2 linked regions of the Cricetulus griseus genome follow. The protein of the gene in region 1 purifies or fractionates together with the protein of each later gene. This does not show direct contact. Links are inferred from orthologs where the notes say so. Each region holds a gene or a part of one and is shown in the gene's direction. Other genes may lie near its edges.

The links. Proteins that work in one complex are often made in the same cells at the same time.
Region 2: the proteins of Gdi1 (region 1) and Rab1a purify together in Homo sapiens (affinity purification with mass spectrometry; 7 studies listed by BioGRID and IntAct, counting the BioPlex papers as one, with this or other methods). This does not show direct contact. The link is inferred for Cricetulus griseus from reciprocal best matches to the Homo sapiens genes GDI1 and RAB1A.

Annotation. Positions count from the first base shown.
Region 1 is NC_048604.1:1,415,164-1,422,779, reverse strand, and holds the start of Gdi1 (rab GDP dissociation inhibitor alpha), read left to right. Parts: upstream 1-3,625; 5' UTR 3,626-3,886; coding exon 3,887-3,931; intron 3,932-4,090; exon of another isoform or gene 4,091-4,322; intron 4,323-4,962; coding exon 4,963-5,070; intron 5,071-5,223; coding exon 5,224-5,323; intron 5,324-5,481; coding exon 5,482-5,616; intron 5,617-6,044; coding exon 6,045-6,243; intron 6,244-6,499; coding exon 6,500-6,631; intron 6,632-7,616. Other genes in the region: Atp6ap1 (V-type proton ATPase subunit S1), read left to right, coding at 501-586, 929-1,167, 1,824-1,871, 1,961-2,189, 2,400-2,609. UniProt on the Homo sapiens protein: Regulates the GDP/GTP exchange reaction of most Rab proteins by inhibiting the dissociation of GDP from them, and the subsequent binding of GTP to them. Promotes the dissociation of GDP-bound Rab proteins from the membrane and inhibits their activation.
Region 2 is NW_023276807.1:86,286,589-86,294,250, reverse strand, and holds the start of Rab1a (ras-related protein Rab-1A), read left to right. Parts: upstream 1-3,745; 5' UTR 3,746-3,954; coding exon 3,955-3,977; intron 3,978-7,662. UniProt on the Homo sapiens protein: The small GTPases Rab are key regulators of intracellular membrane trafficking, from the formation of transport vesicles to their fusion with membranes.

The DNA of each region.
Region 1 (7,616 bases):
AGCAGGGACATAGTGGCTGCCTGCCTGGCCATGTTCTTCTGTAGCTAGCTTCACCTGATAGAGGTGCCTTATGACCCTTGTGCAAGAGCCCTGTAATCTAGCTTCTGCACAGGTCTAACAAATCTATGGATTTAATAGACCAGTAACATTATGCAAAGCAATTAGGAGGACTTGTCTTTGTAGTAGGACTTGTCTTTGTAGTAAAGGACAGTCTATCTGCATGGAAAAGAATTTGGGTAGATCTAGAGTTCTCTGTATCACTATATGTTTCACTTAGGTTGGGCTTGGCATTGGAGAGTCCATGATTGAGGCCACAATTGTCCCCAGAGAGACTGGTAGAGGGGGTAGAAGGAGAAATAGCTGGTTTTAGGGGTCTTCAGTGGAAACAAATAGCACCGAATTTCTCAAGGTCTAGAAGGTCTCTAAAGCAGACAGTGGGGAGTATTTATTTAAGCAGACTACCTGGTGACTTGGCTCTCTGCTCTCCTGTCACGCTTCAGATGAGGTCATTGGACAGGTACTGAGCACACTGAAGTCTGAAGATGTCCCTTACACCGCAGCTCTTACTGCAGTCCGCCCTTCTAGAGTACGTACTCTTCTAGCAGGGGCCCTGGGGCATGGGGTTATGAGGTCATTGGTGAGTGTGCCTGGAGATGAAAGGGTATGTCATAGGCAGGGCCTCCCAGGAGTCCTTATCTTGGGAGATTAGTGGGCAAAGGATTGCTTTCTCAATTCATGGGGACTTTTTTTCCCATCTTGGGCAGTGTTCATGTGTACTTGCTGCAAGTGTTCATAAGTTTAGGGAGATGGAACATCAGGGCTAGGGACTTTCAGCTCACAGGGCACCCAGTGGGAAGGGAGACTGTTACAATGGATTAGGCTTTGTTTTTAGGGCTGTTGAGAGAAGGCTTGTTGGATATTTCTGCAGGTGGTCCGTGATGTACCCATGGTGGCTGAGGGTCTAGGTCGACAGCTGCTTCAGACTCAGGTGGCATCACATGTGATCCATCCTCCTGTGAGTTACAATGACACTGCCCCAAGGATCCTGTTCTGGGCACAAAACTTCTCTGTGGCATACAAAGACGAGTGGAAAGACTTGACTTCCCTCACCTTTGGTGTGGAGAAACTTAACTTGACTGGCTCCTTCTGGAACGACTCCTTTGCCATGTAAGGACACTAGGCAGGGAAGGAAGGACTGTGTTATCACATATGGCCTTCTTGCCACTGTGAGCCCAGTACAGGGCAAGAATGTAGATCAGGTGTGTCTATGTTGGGGGTGAAGAAGGTCTGTTCACCAAGGACTTGAAGATAGTATCACGGGGTAATGTTACTGGGAGGTTACTGGAGAGGAAGCCTCACAAGTTTTACCTTTCCATGCTTTTTAGGCCTTGGTTGTTGGGTTCTGGGTTATTACCCTCACACAGTCCCTTGGAACCCTAGCGCTTCTTTGAACTCAACCCCTGGGACTACATGTGAGCAAATAGCAGACCAGCCGCCAAAACCAGTTCTAGGCTTCCTATACCTGAAACCTCAGCAGGCAGCTGAATAACCTTAAGAAGGGGATGAAAGAGGCTCAGGGGACTCAGGAGAACCAGAGGAAGGAATCCTAAGCTGGAGATCTGGGACCTAGGTGCAGATCCCCCAACTGTTCCTGATTTGCTTATGACTGGAGCCTTAGTTTTCCCATCAGATAAATGGGGACACTGTATTGGCAGGTGACTGTAAGGATGGATTTAGGACAGCTTAGATTGGACCCAGCCTGAGGAGAACCATACTCTAGGTCCTTCTAGAGCCTGACAGCACCCCTCTGCCTTGTCCCACAGGCTTTCACTGACCTATGAACCACTCTTTGGTGCAATGGTGACATTCAAGTAAGTTCTGGTGGTTGAAGTGTGGCTTGGCTGGTATGTCTCCATTGTCTTCTGTTCATCTGACAATCTCTGCTACCCTCACCTCCCAGGTTCATTCTGGCTAGTCGCTTCTACCCAGTGTCTGCCCGATACTGGTTTACTATGGAACGACTTGAAATCCACAGCAATGGCTCTGTTTCCCATTTCAATGTTTCCCAAGTCACGGGACCCAGCATCTATTCTTTCCACTGTGAGTATGTCAGCAGTCTGAGCAAGAAAGGCAATCTCCTTGTGACCAACGTGCCCTCACTCTGGCAGATGACTCTTCAGGACTTCCAGGTATTAAAGGGGGAATGGGCTCCAAGCTGGTGGCAGTAGGGGGAGGGAAGAAGAGCCCAGAGAATTTCAGTATGGCTTGAGCATGTAGCTGAGAGTTCCATCCTTATGCTGTCTCTGAAGGTCTAGACTGTTCACTGATTCCAGAACCCCAGCCCTTGTTGTCTGTAGAAACTTGTGGTCCCTTCTGATCCATGTCTATGTGTCTCCTAGATCCAGGCCTTCAATGTGACGGGTGAGCAGTTCTCCTATGCTAGCGACTGTGCTGGCTTCTTCTCTCCAGGCATCTGGATGGGGCTGCTCACCACCCTCTTCATGCTTTTCATCTTCACCTATGGCCTGCACATGATACTCAGCCTCAAGACCATGGATCGTTTTGACGACCACAAGGGCCCCACCATCACTTTGACACAGATTGTGTGACCTGTGCCAGAGAGAGATTGAGGGAGTGTTGGTGTCTAGGTTGTCATGTTTGCATCTTGTGGCATAGTGGATAGAAAGTTTTTTTTCTCTTCGATAGCATGAACCCTGCAGTACCCTCAGCCTGTCTTGCTTCCTCTTCAACCTACTGAGGGACTGGCTTCCCTGGGGCTATCCCCCATCTCTACCAACAAAGTGTATATATTCTTCATAGATATTAGACAAATCTTCCAGGCTCCATCATCATGAGGGGAAGGAACATTAATTCTAGGGTTCCCTTTCTCCCTTTCCCCCTTATTTATTCTTGCCCCTCCGCTACTTGCTGTTTATAGTGCTTCTGTGTAATTAATGCTCACTCCCCAAGCTTTATGAATCTTCCAGCAACAGCAATAAACTTGAGGTTCCTTGAGTTTGAGATGTATGGAAAGACTACTTAACTGTCTGTCCAGCTTGGCTGTTGTGTTTTTTGGGTGACATGTTAAGAATGATCTGTACACTGGGGTTTATTTCTGTAGCCTGAGAAAGAAGAGACCTCCACAAGGCTTATTCCCACTAGGATTGTCTGCCAAGAGATGGGGATGGGGGTACTCTTTTTGTTTCCCTTCCTAATAAAATAAAGACGTGTTGTCATATGTGTTGGGCTTCGGCTTTGAGTCACTCATTTCTGCACTTGACAGTAGATTTGTTTTTGACTGAGGGGAAGAAGTGCCCAGGTGTAGTCCTAACAGGTGAGAGGGGAAGGGTGGGAGAGTCTTCATCAAGCTGATTGATACTCTTAACGAGTTAAGGTAGAGGCCCATTATTTCTCCTGGCCTTGGGGAGAGTCCTTACAATGAAAGATACAGGCAACTGCAAATACCACAGGGCCTTGCTGTTTCTCCCAGAGGGGCGGTATGGGATCGCGCCAGGAGGGATGGGACGGGGCGGGGCGCTCTCGGCTCCCGCGCATGGATCTTCGCGGGACGCAGCACCTGCCACGGACCCGCCCCGCCCCGCATTTCTCTGGGCTCGCGAAGATCTGCGTTGCCCCCGAAATTGTACTGGTGCGGAGACTCAGGCGCTGGAAGCCCTTCCAGAAAATAAGCGGGAGAAACGGTGGCATCGCTAGGGTGTGGCAGGGCCCGAGGAGGGAGAGGGACTCTTTGACGCGGCGGAAGGATCTGGAGACGACTGATAGCCGCCATCTTTGGTTCAGTGCGGTGGCAGCGGCGGCGGCGGCAGTGGCTGCTGTGGTGAAGGAGGAGGAGGAGCCGAGCGGGCGTTGGTACCAAGGCCTGACCATGGACGAGGAATACGATGTGATAGTACTGGGGACAGGTCTTACCGTAAGTGTCACCCTAGGCACTCATAGCCCTGTAGCATGCCTTTCCCATCCCCCGCGGTGATGCAGAGCCCTGGTCACCGGTCTCATTCTCCCATCATTGCTTTCCTGGCTCTGGTCCTGGCAAAGCCAACCCCGCTCCCACCCCACTGCCTCACCCTAGGATGTCGACTCGACGGCGCTGCCATCTTCTTGCTTCCCCGTAGAGGACCCTGTTTCAGCCTGTATCCCTGCACCCTAGGACCCCTTCATCGTCCCTATCTGTGTCACCGAGGTGGAAAACTACCCCCCCCCCGGACCGGTTGTGCCCAGCCCCCACCCTTCACCTGCTTAGCATCCTTGATTAGCATCTCTTACCATTTTGTGGTGATCACACTAGGGCATTGAGTATAAAGGTATGGGTATGGGGGCATTCCAAGGGTGGGTTCTCATCCTGCCTTTTTGCCTTTTGAGAGGGGACGGTAATTCAGGGAATGTTCCAGAAGCAGCAGTAGTGGGGGTAGTTACGACATTCCCTCTACCCCAGTCTGGTTTCCCATGGAGATCTCAGGCTGAATATATCCTCTGCCTTTGTCCTTGGGCTAGTGACAGTGATTGGTTGTTGGTTTGCACCCTGAGTCTGGACCGGTAGATAGGGCTGGAGGGTCAGGGGCTCCTGCCTTTGTAGGAGGAGCAGCCCAGGGTGGGGTCTGGGATTTCATTTGAATTGGTTCTTCTCCAGACTCGTTACCTTTTTGTGGGCTCAGAGCAGGCAGATACTTACTTGGCTTGTGGGTACTAGAAGACTGTCCTTGGGTCTGCTGGAAGCTCTGCCTCCCTAAGCCTCATTTAATGCTCTGGCATTTCACCGTCTTGCCTAACAGGGTTATAAAGGAAACATCGAATGAAGCCATTTCCCCTCTCTCCAGTTTTAGGTGCTACAAGAGGCAGGGATTTATGTTACAAAATTTATGTCGGGTTTGAGTCAGGGACAAACCAGGGATGCAGGTCAGAAGGCAGATGGGAGTGTAGCTGCAAATGCCACCCCTCCCCCAGGAATGCATCTTGTCTGGCATCATGTCTGTGAATGGAAAGAAGGTGCTGCACATGGACCGGAACCCTTACTATGGGGGTGAGAGCTCTTCCATCACACCCCTGGAAGAGGTAAGGCTTCTTGGACTTGAGCTAAGACCCAGACCCCTTTTTAGTCTCTCACATAGGGGCATGGGGGCAAAGTAGTTCCCAGGTGCTGGGCTGGAGAATGGGAGAGGGATAGGTGGTCCTTGACATTTTTCTTTCTTTCTGTCCTGTTTACAGCTATATAAACGTTTTCAGTTGCTGGAAGGGCCCCCTGAGTCAATGGGCCGGGGCCGAGACTGGAATGTTGACTTGATCCCCAAATTTCTCATGGCCAATGGTGAGGGAGATTAAGAAGATAATGTATATGGTGATTGGTGGGTGGTGGTGATTGGGAAGACCAGAGGGGAGGTTCAAGCTCCAGAATAAGGTCAGTCAGACAACTGAGAGATTTTTGAAGGGAGCTACACTGACATCCCTAATCCTCTCTGGACACAGGTCAGCTGGTAAAGATGCTGCTGTATACAGAAGTGACTCGTTATCTGGACTTCAAGGTGGTTGAGGGCAGCTTTGTATACAAGGGAGGCAAGATCTACAAAGTACCATCCACTGAGACTGAGGCCTTGGCTTCTAGTAAGTATGAGTCTCCTTAGCCAGAGAATAATGGGACAGGAGGAAGCAGACTATTCTCAAGATAGTTAGGCAAAAGGCTCCCATTTGCCTAAGCCTAATCTTAGCTCTATGTAATACCAGAGGCCCCTTGCTTTATAGTACCTTTATTGGAATGTGCTACCCATCCTGGCAAGTTACCAGAAAGGAAGCTCATTGAGGAGGATTTCTTTTTGGCAGAGGGCCTACTTGACCCCCATTGCATCCCCAAGTGGAGCTAGGAGTGCCTCTTCCTACAAATAGGAAAACTAAGGCCAAGAAGGGTGGGGCAGGGTTACATGACTGAGCTCTGGTGGGAGCCAGGACACCAACTTTCCTGGCCTGCTCTGGTGGAAAGAAGAGTTTTATGTCCCAGTAATACAAAAAGAGTCTTTTCAATACCCTTCCTTCAGATCTGATGGGCATGTTTGAAAAACGACGCTTCCGGAAATTCTTGGTGTTTGTGGCAAACTTTGATGAGAATGACCCCAAAACCTTTGAGGGTGTCGACCCCCAGACCACCAGCATGCGTGATGTCTACAGGAAGTTTGATCTGGGCCAAGATGTCATTGATTTCACTGGCCATGCCTTGGCGCTCTACCGCACTGATGAGTGAGGGGAAAGCTGGCTGGTGGCAGGAGCCCCTTTGTCTGCCTCACACTTTATCCTCCCCACACCTGCCTATTGTATCCACTGCCCACCCTGCATATCTCTTGTACTTGTCTATAAGTTCACCTGTTGCATTTCCATCCCTCTCTTCCATTTGACTCATATCTTTGCCAGGTCACAAAGGGTGGTGGGAAGGCGGATGGTGTCTTTGAAGGTGAGCAGGAGTGCTGCTGTCAAAGCATCTTCTCTTGTTCCCCAGCTACCTGGATCAGCCCTGTCTTGAGACTATTAACCGTATCAAGTTGTACAGTGAGTCCTTGGCCCGGTATGGCAAGAGCCCATATTTGTACCCACTCTATGGCCTGGGCGAGCTGCCCCAGGGCTTTGCAAGGTGAGGACCTTTTTTTCCCAAGCTGGCATTAGTGGGTATGACTAAGACCAATAAGCCTGGTGGTGGTGGCACAAGCCTTTAATCCCAGCATTTGGGAAGCAGATGCAGGCAGAGCTCTGTGAGTTCCAGGCCAAGCTGGTCTAGAGAGTGAGTTCTAGGACAGCCAAAGCTACATAGAGAAACACTCTTGAAAAACCAAAAATAAAATGAAATAAATAAAAGAATGGAAATTACCTCCTTGGGCTTTTTTTTTTTTTTCTTGAGACAGGGTTTCTCTGTATTTTTTTAGAGCCTGTCCTGGAACTTGCTCTATAGATCAGGCTGGCCTTGAACTCAGAGATCTACCTGCCTCTGCCTCCTGAGTGCTGGGATTAAAGGTGTGGGCCACCCCCCCCCGCCCCTCACCTCCCCACCCCCCCATTCCCCCCACCCCCGCTCTCCTTGAGCATTTTTGTGGCATCTTCTACTTTCCCATCTAAATCTTCATGTACATTGTTCCATCCCTGGTTAATGGGGGCACAGCCTTAGTACAGAGTAAAGGTGGAGAGTTGGCTCAGCAGATAAAAGCACTTGTTTTTACAGAGGACCCAGGTTTAATTCCAACAGCCACATGGTGGCCTACAACTGTCCATAACTCCAGTTTTAGGGAATCCTAACACCTTCATCTGACCTCCATAGGTTCCAAGCATGCATGTGGTCTACAGACATATGCCAAGAAAACACATACACGTAAAATAGTCAATGTAAATAATATACTTAAAAAGTAAAGGAAATACAAAGTAAAGGACCAGATGACCATGAAAATAGCTTTCCCAGTTCCTGGTAGTACCTGAACTAAGTCTAGGACCCCAGAACCTTGAATCTAAGATTCCCTGGAATCTGGCTCTTTGCCAGAGAGTCCTTTATTCGATTCCTGAGCCATTTCTATGTGAAGCTACACTCATTGGACTTTGCAGAATAGAATGTTCTGGATGGAAACTCCAGA
Region 2 (7,662 bases), on another chromosome or scaffold:
TAGTCTAGCCAACTGGTGAGTGAGCTCCAGGGAAGACATTTGAGGTTGATCTCTAGCCTTTATATGGAGATACATGGTTAAGCACTATGCACATACACACATACATCTGGGAGAGTGAGGGGGAGGAGGGGGGAGGAGAAGGGAGGGCAGAAGGGAGGGAAGAAGGGAGAGGGAAATTATTTTAAGAAACATCTAAGAGATGGACATAGTAGTGCACATCTTCAATCCCAGCACTTGGGAGGCAGAGGCAGGCAGACCTCTGTGAGTTCAAGGGCAGTCTAGTCTACAGAGTGAGTTTCAAGACAGCCAGAGCTACAAAGTGAGACCTTGTCTGGGGTGCGGCGGGGTGAGGAGAGAAAAACACACATCTAAGTTTGTAAAGGAAGTACTTAATTATTATTTTGTTTATTTTTGGTCTTTCCAGACAAGATGGCTCTTCTAGGCTACTTCTCTGTGTAGCCCTAGCTCTATAGATCAGGCTGTCCTCAAACTCACAGATCTGCCTGTGAGTTTCTGTTTCCTGAGTCGAGCCACCACCACCCAGCTATTTACTTTTTTTATATGAGTGTTTTGACTGTATGTATGTATGTATGTATGTATGTATGTATGTATGTATGTATGTACATCACCTGAATGCAGTCCCTGAAGAGGCCAGAAGAAGGCTTTGTGTTGTTGTATGGAACTAGTTATAGATGGCTATGAGTTACCATGTGGGGTCTGGGAGCCAAACCTGGGTCCTCTACAAGGGCAGTAATTGTTTACAACTTCTGAGCCATCTCTTCAGTTCCATGGGAAGGAATCTTTTTTAGGTGTGTGTGGGGGGGAGTGGGGGTTGAGACAGGGTTTCATTGTGTAGCTCTGGCTGTCCTGCAACTCACTTTGTTGATTAGGCTGTTCTGGAACTCACAGAGGCCTGCCTCTATCTCCAGAGTGTTAGGATTAAAGTGCTGGGATTCCTACCCTGTGGGAAGGAATCTTAATATAAGTGACACCTGTGTTGCAGTAGGATCTAGGAAGCTGGCACTCACCACTCTATAGCCATGACTGTTTCTAATCCATTTACATGTTATAACAGTAACTAAGACATGAAGTTTCCTGTCCTCTTTATACAGCAGGTACAGTTAAGCTTTAGGGGTGTCAAGGAGGAATTGTGCTATATACTTCACACTGTTTTGTTTGCCACTTAGGTTATGTTACTAGATAATTTGTTAGGAAACGAAATAGTTAATGAAAGAAAGTTGAGGAAATTAACTTCCAAGGAGACAGACAGATAAAAAAATGGAGTTTTGGTGGTAGTATCTCTTAGAGAAGCCAACATTCATGCTCTGTAGTGTGCTTTTCTTTCTGAGAGTCTGCAGTCTCCCTTAACATTTATGCTTGAGTTTATATTAAAATATCATCAATAAAAACCCAGCTTGGGCTGGATAGATGGTTCATCCACGAAGGGCACTTTTTGTTCTTGCTGGGGACTCATGTTGAGTTCCCAGCACCCACATGATGACTCACAACAATCTGTAACTCCAGTTTCAGGGATCGAATACTCTCTTCTGATCTCTGAGGGCACCAGGCACACACACCACAACATGCACATACATACACATACAGGAAAGCATTCATATACATAAAATTAAAATTAAATGACAGATTATTTAGGGGGGGTGGTTGAGACCACTCTCACTATGTAGTCCTGGCTCTCCTGGAATTTACTATGTAGACCAGGATGGCTTCAAACTCAATTGTCTCTGCCTTCAAGTGCTGGGATTAAAGATATGCTCTGCCACACTGGGTTTAAATGGCAAATCCACCCCTCCCCCCCCAAAAAAAAACCAACAAAAAAAAAGCAAAACAAAAACCAAAATAAAATTTTGCTTGAAAAATTGAGTTTGGGGCTACTTCTGAGGTTTTATTTTGTAAAATGACAATGAGCAGGAAATATTATAGGCTTCAGGGTCCAGGGCTACACACTTGTGGTGCTTCATTTTTCATCTAGGGTAATTTTTGGGTGGTGACCAAGTCCATTTGAGAAGTTAACATGTAAAAGAACCCTTATGGGACATCGTGATGGCGCTGGGGATGTCACAGGCCTTTGATTCTATCACAGAGGAGGGAGGATTACTGAATTTGAGGTCTACAGAGTGAGCTCCAGGACAGCCTGGGCTACACAGAGAAACCCGTCTCAAAAAAAACCCAAAACCAACAATAAAAACAAAAAAACCCCTAATCCCAAAACCTATATATAATCTGATGAGGCTGTCAATCAAGGCACATGAAGGGTGGTGGTGGTGGTGGGGCATGTAAAGAGGTACTGAGTATCTGGTTAGAAATGACAACAGCCTCTTTTGCTTATTTTGATGTCACAGAAATTTAAAGTAATTCTGCAGTCGGTCTCAGGAGATAATATTCTTGCTTAGAACAAGTTGGAAGATAAACTTTGGACAGTGTATTATACTATGCCCTTTGTAATAAATAACCGAAGATAATGTGTTAAAGTTTAGTCAACATTTAAATTCCTGAGCTGATTAAAGTTAAGAGCATAAGGTCTAAAAATGTATTAATATTAGTTCTGGAGTCTGTAGTGAAGAATTGCATGGCTTGAAAAAAAAAATCACTTGTTGTCGGGCTTTGGTAGCGCACGCCTTTAATCCCAGCACTAGGAAAGCAGAGACAGGAGGATCTCTGTGAGTTCGAGGCCAGCGTGGTCTCCAGAGCGAGTCCCAGGATAAGCTCCAAAGCTACGCAGAGAAACCCTGTCTCGAAAAACCAAAAAAACAAAAAGAAAGAAAAAAATTACTTGTTACTGCCCAATTTTGCAGAACGATACAGAATTAAGTACTAACTAATAAAACAAACAAAAACAACAGCAGACCTGAAAAAACAAAAACAAAACCCCCAACAATTCAACTTTATAAGTCTAGGCCTCAAGTAGGCAGACTGGTTTAGGCTGACTCTAGCCTGTGTCTCAACCACACAATGCGGAGCCTTTGAAGGTTGGGAGGTCATGATGGAGTCGCAGTTTCAGAAAGATAAATCTGGCTGTATGTGCAAGTGGACTGGGGTGGGGGGCGGCAGAAAAGAGACAAAAGCAGGGTCCATTTGCAGCTACTGCAATGTCAGGTTGCTAAAGTAAAATGGTTTTTAAAAAATGAGAAAAGAACGGATCGGGTGAATAAGAAGCGCAAGATCCACAGAGGCGGCTTGACTTTCCTTCTGTTCTTAGAGCTGTCCGGAGGCTCGTGTGGATGGCCCCCAGGGTCGCGCCAGAGCAGGGAGGTGGTCCTCATACCTCCCTTCCAGCCCCAATGGCCCCTCCTCACTCTGTCCTGGAGTCCCCAGGAGCCCCCACCCCCTCGGATGCGGCACCGCCCTCCGCCGGGTTCCTTCCCCTCCCCTTCCCGTGGGGCGCCGACTCGCCCAGCTGCCACGTCTCACTGATGACATCAACACAGCCCGCTCGGCCTTAGCCAATCCGCTAGGGGGAGTCCGAGCGAAGTCCTAGCCAGCAAGCCAGAGGGGAGGGGAGCAGGAAGGGCGGGGTGTGGGGTGAGGGAATCGGGACGGGGCGGACGACAAGCTCGCAGGTGCGCACGCGTGCGGGGCGCGGGGCCTGGTGGGAAGCTGAGTGCAAGCTGTCCTCGGCCCCGTCAGGCTGGCCAGCGTGCGGTGCGCTCACGACTCTATTTCCCGGCGTGCCGCGCGACGCGGCCGCCCTCTGGGCCGCGACAGGCCCCTTGGCCTAGGCTTCCCTAGTTCCTGGTTCGCCGGCGGCCATTTTGGGTGGAAGCGATCACTGAGTGGCGGCGGCTGCTGATTGTGTTCTAAGGGTCGGAGTGGGGTCGACGTTTGCTCTACCGGAACAGCTTAGCTCATTCCTTCCCTTCCATTACCCGTGGCGCGGAGAGTCGGGGCGGCGGCTGCGTCAGCAAGGGCGGTGGCGGCGGCGGCAGCTGCAGTGACATGTCCAGCATGAATCCCGAATAGTGAGTGCAGGAGAGCCGGGGCGGGCTGGGGGTGAGGGCGTCCGGCCGGGGGGTGAAGGCCACCGGGAGGCTCGCTGCGCGGCAGCGGGAAGGTCGGCCGGGCGAGCGAGGCGGAGCGGCCCCAGGGCCCCATTGTCTGACGGCCGAGGGCCGCGGCGGGGAGGGGTCGGGCCTCCGGGGCAGGGGCCGGGGAGCCGGCGGGGAGCTGTGTGCCGCGGCCGGGCGTTGGGGAATCGGCCTCGGACAGCGGCCAGGAGGGGCGCGTCTCTGGGAGGCAGTGACGGCTGGAGGAGGACTTGTTTTTAAGGGAGGTAGGTGGGAGAGCTCTGCTAGAGGGCACTGTCAGACCCTGCGCCGGCTCTGCGGAGCTGTCAGCCTCGGCAGCGAGGAAACCAGCTTTCCTTGTAAATCCTCAGCTTGTTACAGCTCTCTCCCCGGCGGGTTTCAGGTAATATGGATGTTTCTCGGGACTGCGTGGGTTGAGGAGATGGTGAGAAGGTATTTACAATGTTTAGTTTCCTTTTGGGCTTGTCTCCTGAGGAGTTCTTTAAAGAGTGTGAGCCATGGTCCTTCTACAATCCTGGGCATTTGTGAAATTTTTGTTTTAGAGGACACCTAAGTCTCCAAGTCACCTTTTGTTTTCAGTAGGTCAACAATAACAACAACTAAAATTAAAAATGTCTTCCTGGCACCGCCAACTTAAAGTACGAGTTTGCTCACAAATTGGAAAAGAGCTTTGATAGAGCTGTAGGTTTTAGATTACCTAGTTGAAAGCCTGTAGATAGGGAATGAGGTTCCATGACGTGTCATGAAAAGTTAATGCATTCCTTTTTCTTGCTTACTCAAGAAGTCACTATAGCAGATGTGACACACCTGGCACCTTTCATGGGAACTGGTGATCTCTTTTCTTGAGTAGACATTGTTGGGCTCTTTTGAACTGCACCTAAAATCCTCCTATACTTTTATATATGAAAGTTAACTTGAAGAGATGGCATTTTTGTTCTCTTTAGTGTCAGAAATCTTTAAGGGAGTGGATTTTTTTTTTTTTTTTTTGATAAGAGAAGCCAGCATAGCCTTAAAGCTGAATTTGTTGCTTGATCAATTACCGCTAAGTGTTTCCCCATGAAAGGTCTATCCATCAGTTTAGCTGACTTGTCATCATGTGTGTGTCACATGGCTCTTGCAAAATGCATTCTAAGTTCCAAGTTTTGTAAGACTGTGGTTTTATGCTGAGATGTTCTTTTTCATTTGTGCTAAGCAGAAGTCATAGTATCTTGGTAGAATTTTACATTAATTTTATTGTGTGTGTGTAATGCATGTGATTGCAGGTGCACAGGTGCCACAGTACTTGCGTGAAAAAGGTCAGGGAACAAATTTTAAGAGTTGGTTCCATCTTCCTTTGTGGTTTCTGAAGACTGAACTCAGACGAGCAGTCTAATCATAGAGCCATCTTACTGGTCCAGACTTTTGTACTTCTTTAAGAAGTTGGGAACAGTTCATACTTGCTGTGTTGGCAGCCCCTTCCCCAAGTCACCGACTCTGCAGGACAAAATTGGTTTAGTAGAGCAAAGTTGAATTGGGTTCCTAGTTAGTTTTCCTGGCATCCGTAAAGAACTTGGATTTAATCAGCCTGGTGTTGGACGGTGGCGTAGGCGGCGAGCACTCTGGAGGCAGAGGCAGGTGGATCTCTGTTAGTTTGAGACCAGCCTGGCCTACAGAGTGAGTTCCAGGACAGCCTCTAAAGCTACAGAGAAACCTTGTCTCGAAAAACCAAAAAACCAAAACCAAAACAACAACCCCCCCCATGGATTTACTAGACTAGGGAGGTTTGTAAACCTGTACTATTTGAGGAGTTTCCTATATTTGTTTTGTATGTATGTATGTATGTATGTATGTATGTATGTATTTGGTTTTTCGTTTTTCGAGACAGGGTTTCTCTGTGTAGCTTTGGAGCCGATCCTGGCACTGGCTCTGGAGACCAGGCTGGCCTCCAACTCACAGAGATCCGCCTGTCTCTGCCTCCCGAGTGCTGGGATTAAAGGCGTGCACCACCAACGCTCGGCAATTTTTTCTTTTTACAAAATTATAATTTCACATGTCAGTCCCTTCTCCCCCCCCAACTTCTCCCCCAGCCCCCTCCTCCCTCCACTCCCCATAGAGGGTAGGGCCCTCTACGGGCCTCCCCAAATTCCACAACATTCTCTGTGTAGCTTTGGAGCCTATCCTGGCACTCCTTCTGTAGACCAGGCTGGCCTCGAACTCACAGAGATCTGCCTGACTCTGCTTCCAGAGTGCTGGGATTAAGGTGTGCACCACCAACGTCCGGCTTTGTTACATATATTTAAATATTATTTATTTGTATGTGTGTGTTTGAGGTTAGAGCAGTGGTTCTTAACCTTCCTAATGCTATGACCCTTTAATACAATTCTTCATCTTGTGGTGGCCCCCAGCCATAAAATTATTTTTGTTGTCTCTTCATAACTGTACTACTGTTATAAATGGTAGGGTCTCGACCCCTAGATTGGGAACCACTGGGGTAGAGCCATTCCTTGGAGTTGGAGTTACAAAAAGTTGTGAGCCTCTGATGTGGTGCTGGGAATTGAACTCCAGTTTTCTGCTAGAAACAGTACATGTTCTTAACTAATCAGTCTCTTCAGCCTGTGTTACTTATATTTTTTTAATACTGTAAGAAGATCTTGAAGATGAACTAGATGACAAAAATTTGATGTTATTCAGACTTTTAATTTGTTTCTCCTTTTGTAAAGTAGTATAAAAAGGTCATTTTTACTACGTATTAAGGTAGTAGTGTGGCTAAGTATGTAAAAAATTTGGACAGCTAACCAAAGCACATTGCAGGTGTTGTAAATCATTTTTAAGTAAGCATTTTAGTTATGCTGGGACTTAGGGATGTAAGCCTTAACCTCAAGAGCCTGTGATATAATACACAAGACACACACACACACACACACACACACACACACACACACACACACACACACACACACAGCTGCATGGATCAGAGAAGTACGATTTCAGGGGAGTGTCATTTGTTGTTGTTGGCTCTTTTGGAATACTACTATAGAAGAGACATATAAGAAAATGACCAGTGCACCAGTGAGATAGATAGCTCAGCTGCTACCTTGATGATGAGTTCCATCCCTGGGACCTGCATATTCTCTGGTCTCTATGTGTCACCCTCTCCCAAGAATCTAAGTAAATATTATAAAAAAGAGAAAGAATTATTAGCACAGAAGAGAGCTAGGGAAGACTTCAAGAGGGAGAAGAGGAATGACTAGTAAATGGCAAGGAAAATAATTTTTTAAATCCTTTTTCTTAGTTTTAAGACAAGATTTCACTGTGATGTAATCCTGGCTATCCTGAAACACACTGTGTAGGTGAGGCTGGCCTTGTATTTGTCCCAGTCTTCCTGTTTCTGCCTCCCAAGTGCTGACGTTACAGATTCGAGTTACCATGGCCCTGCATGGACAATTATTTATTCATTCATTCTTTTGAGGTCTCAAGTATGCCAATATCTGGCCTATATTTGCATTCTAGATTGTATAATAAACTAGTTCAGGAGTTTGGGGAAAGGATTTACGAAATTTTAAGATGAGAGATATTTTGTTAGTGAATATCACAAGTGTAACCAATATACCAATAATGATTAAGTTATACTCTGTCTTTC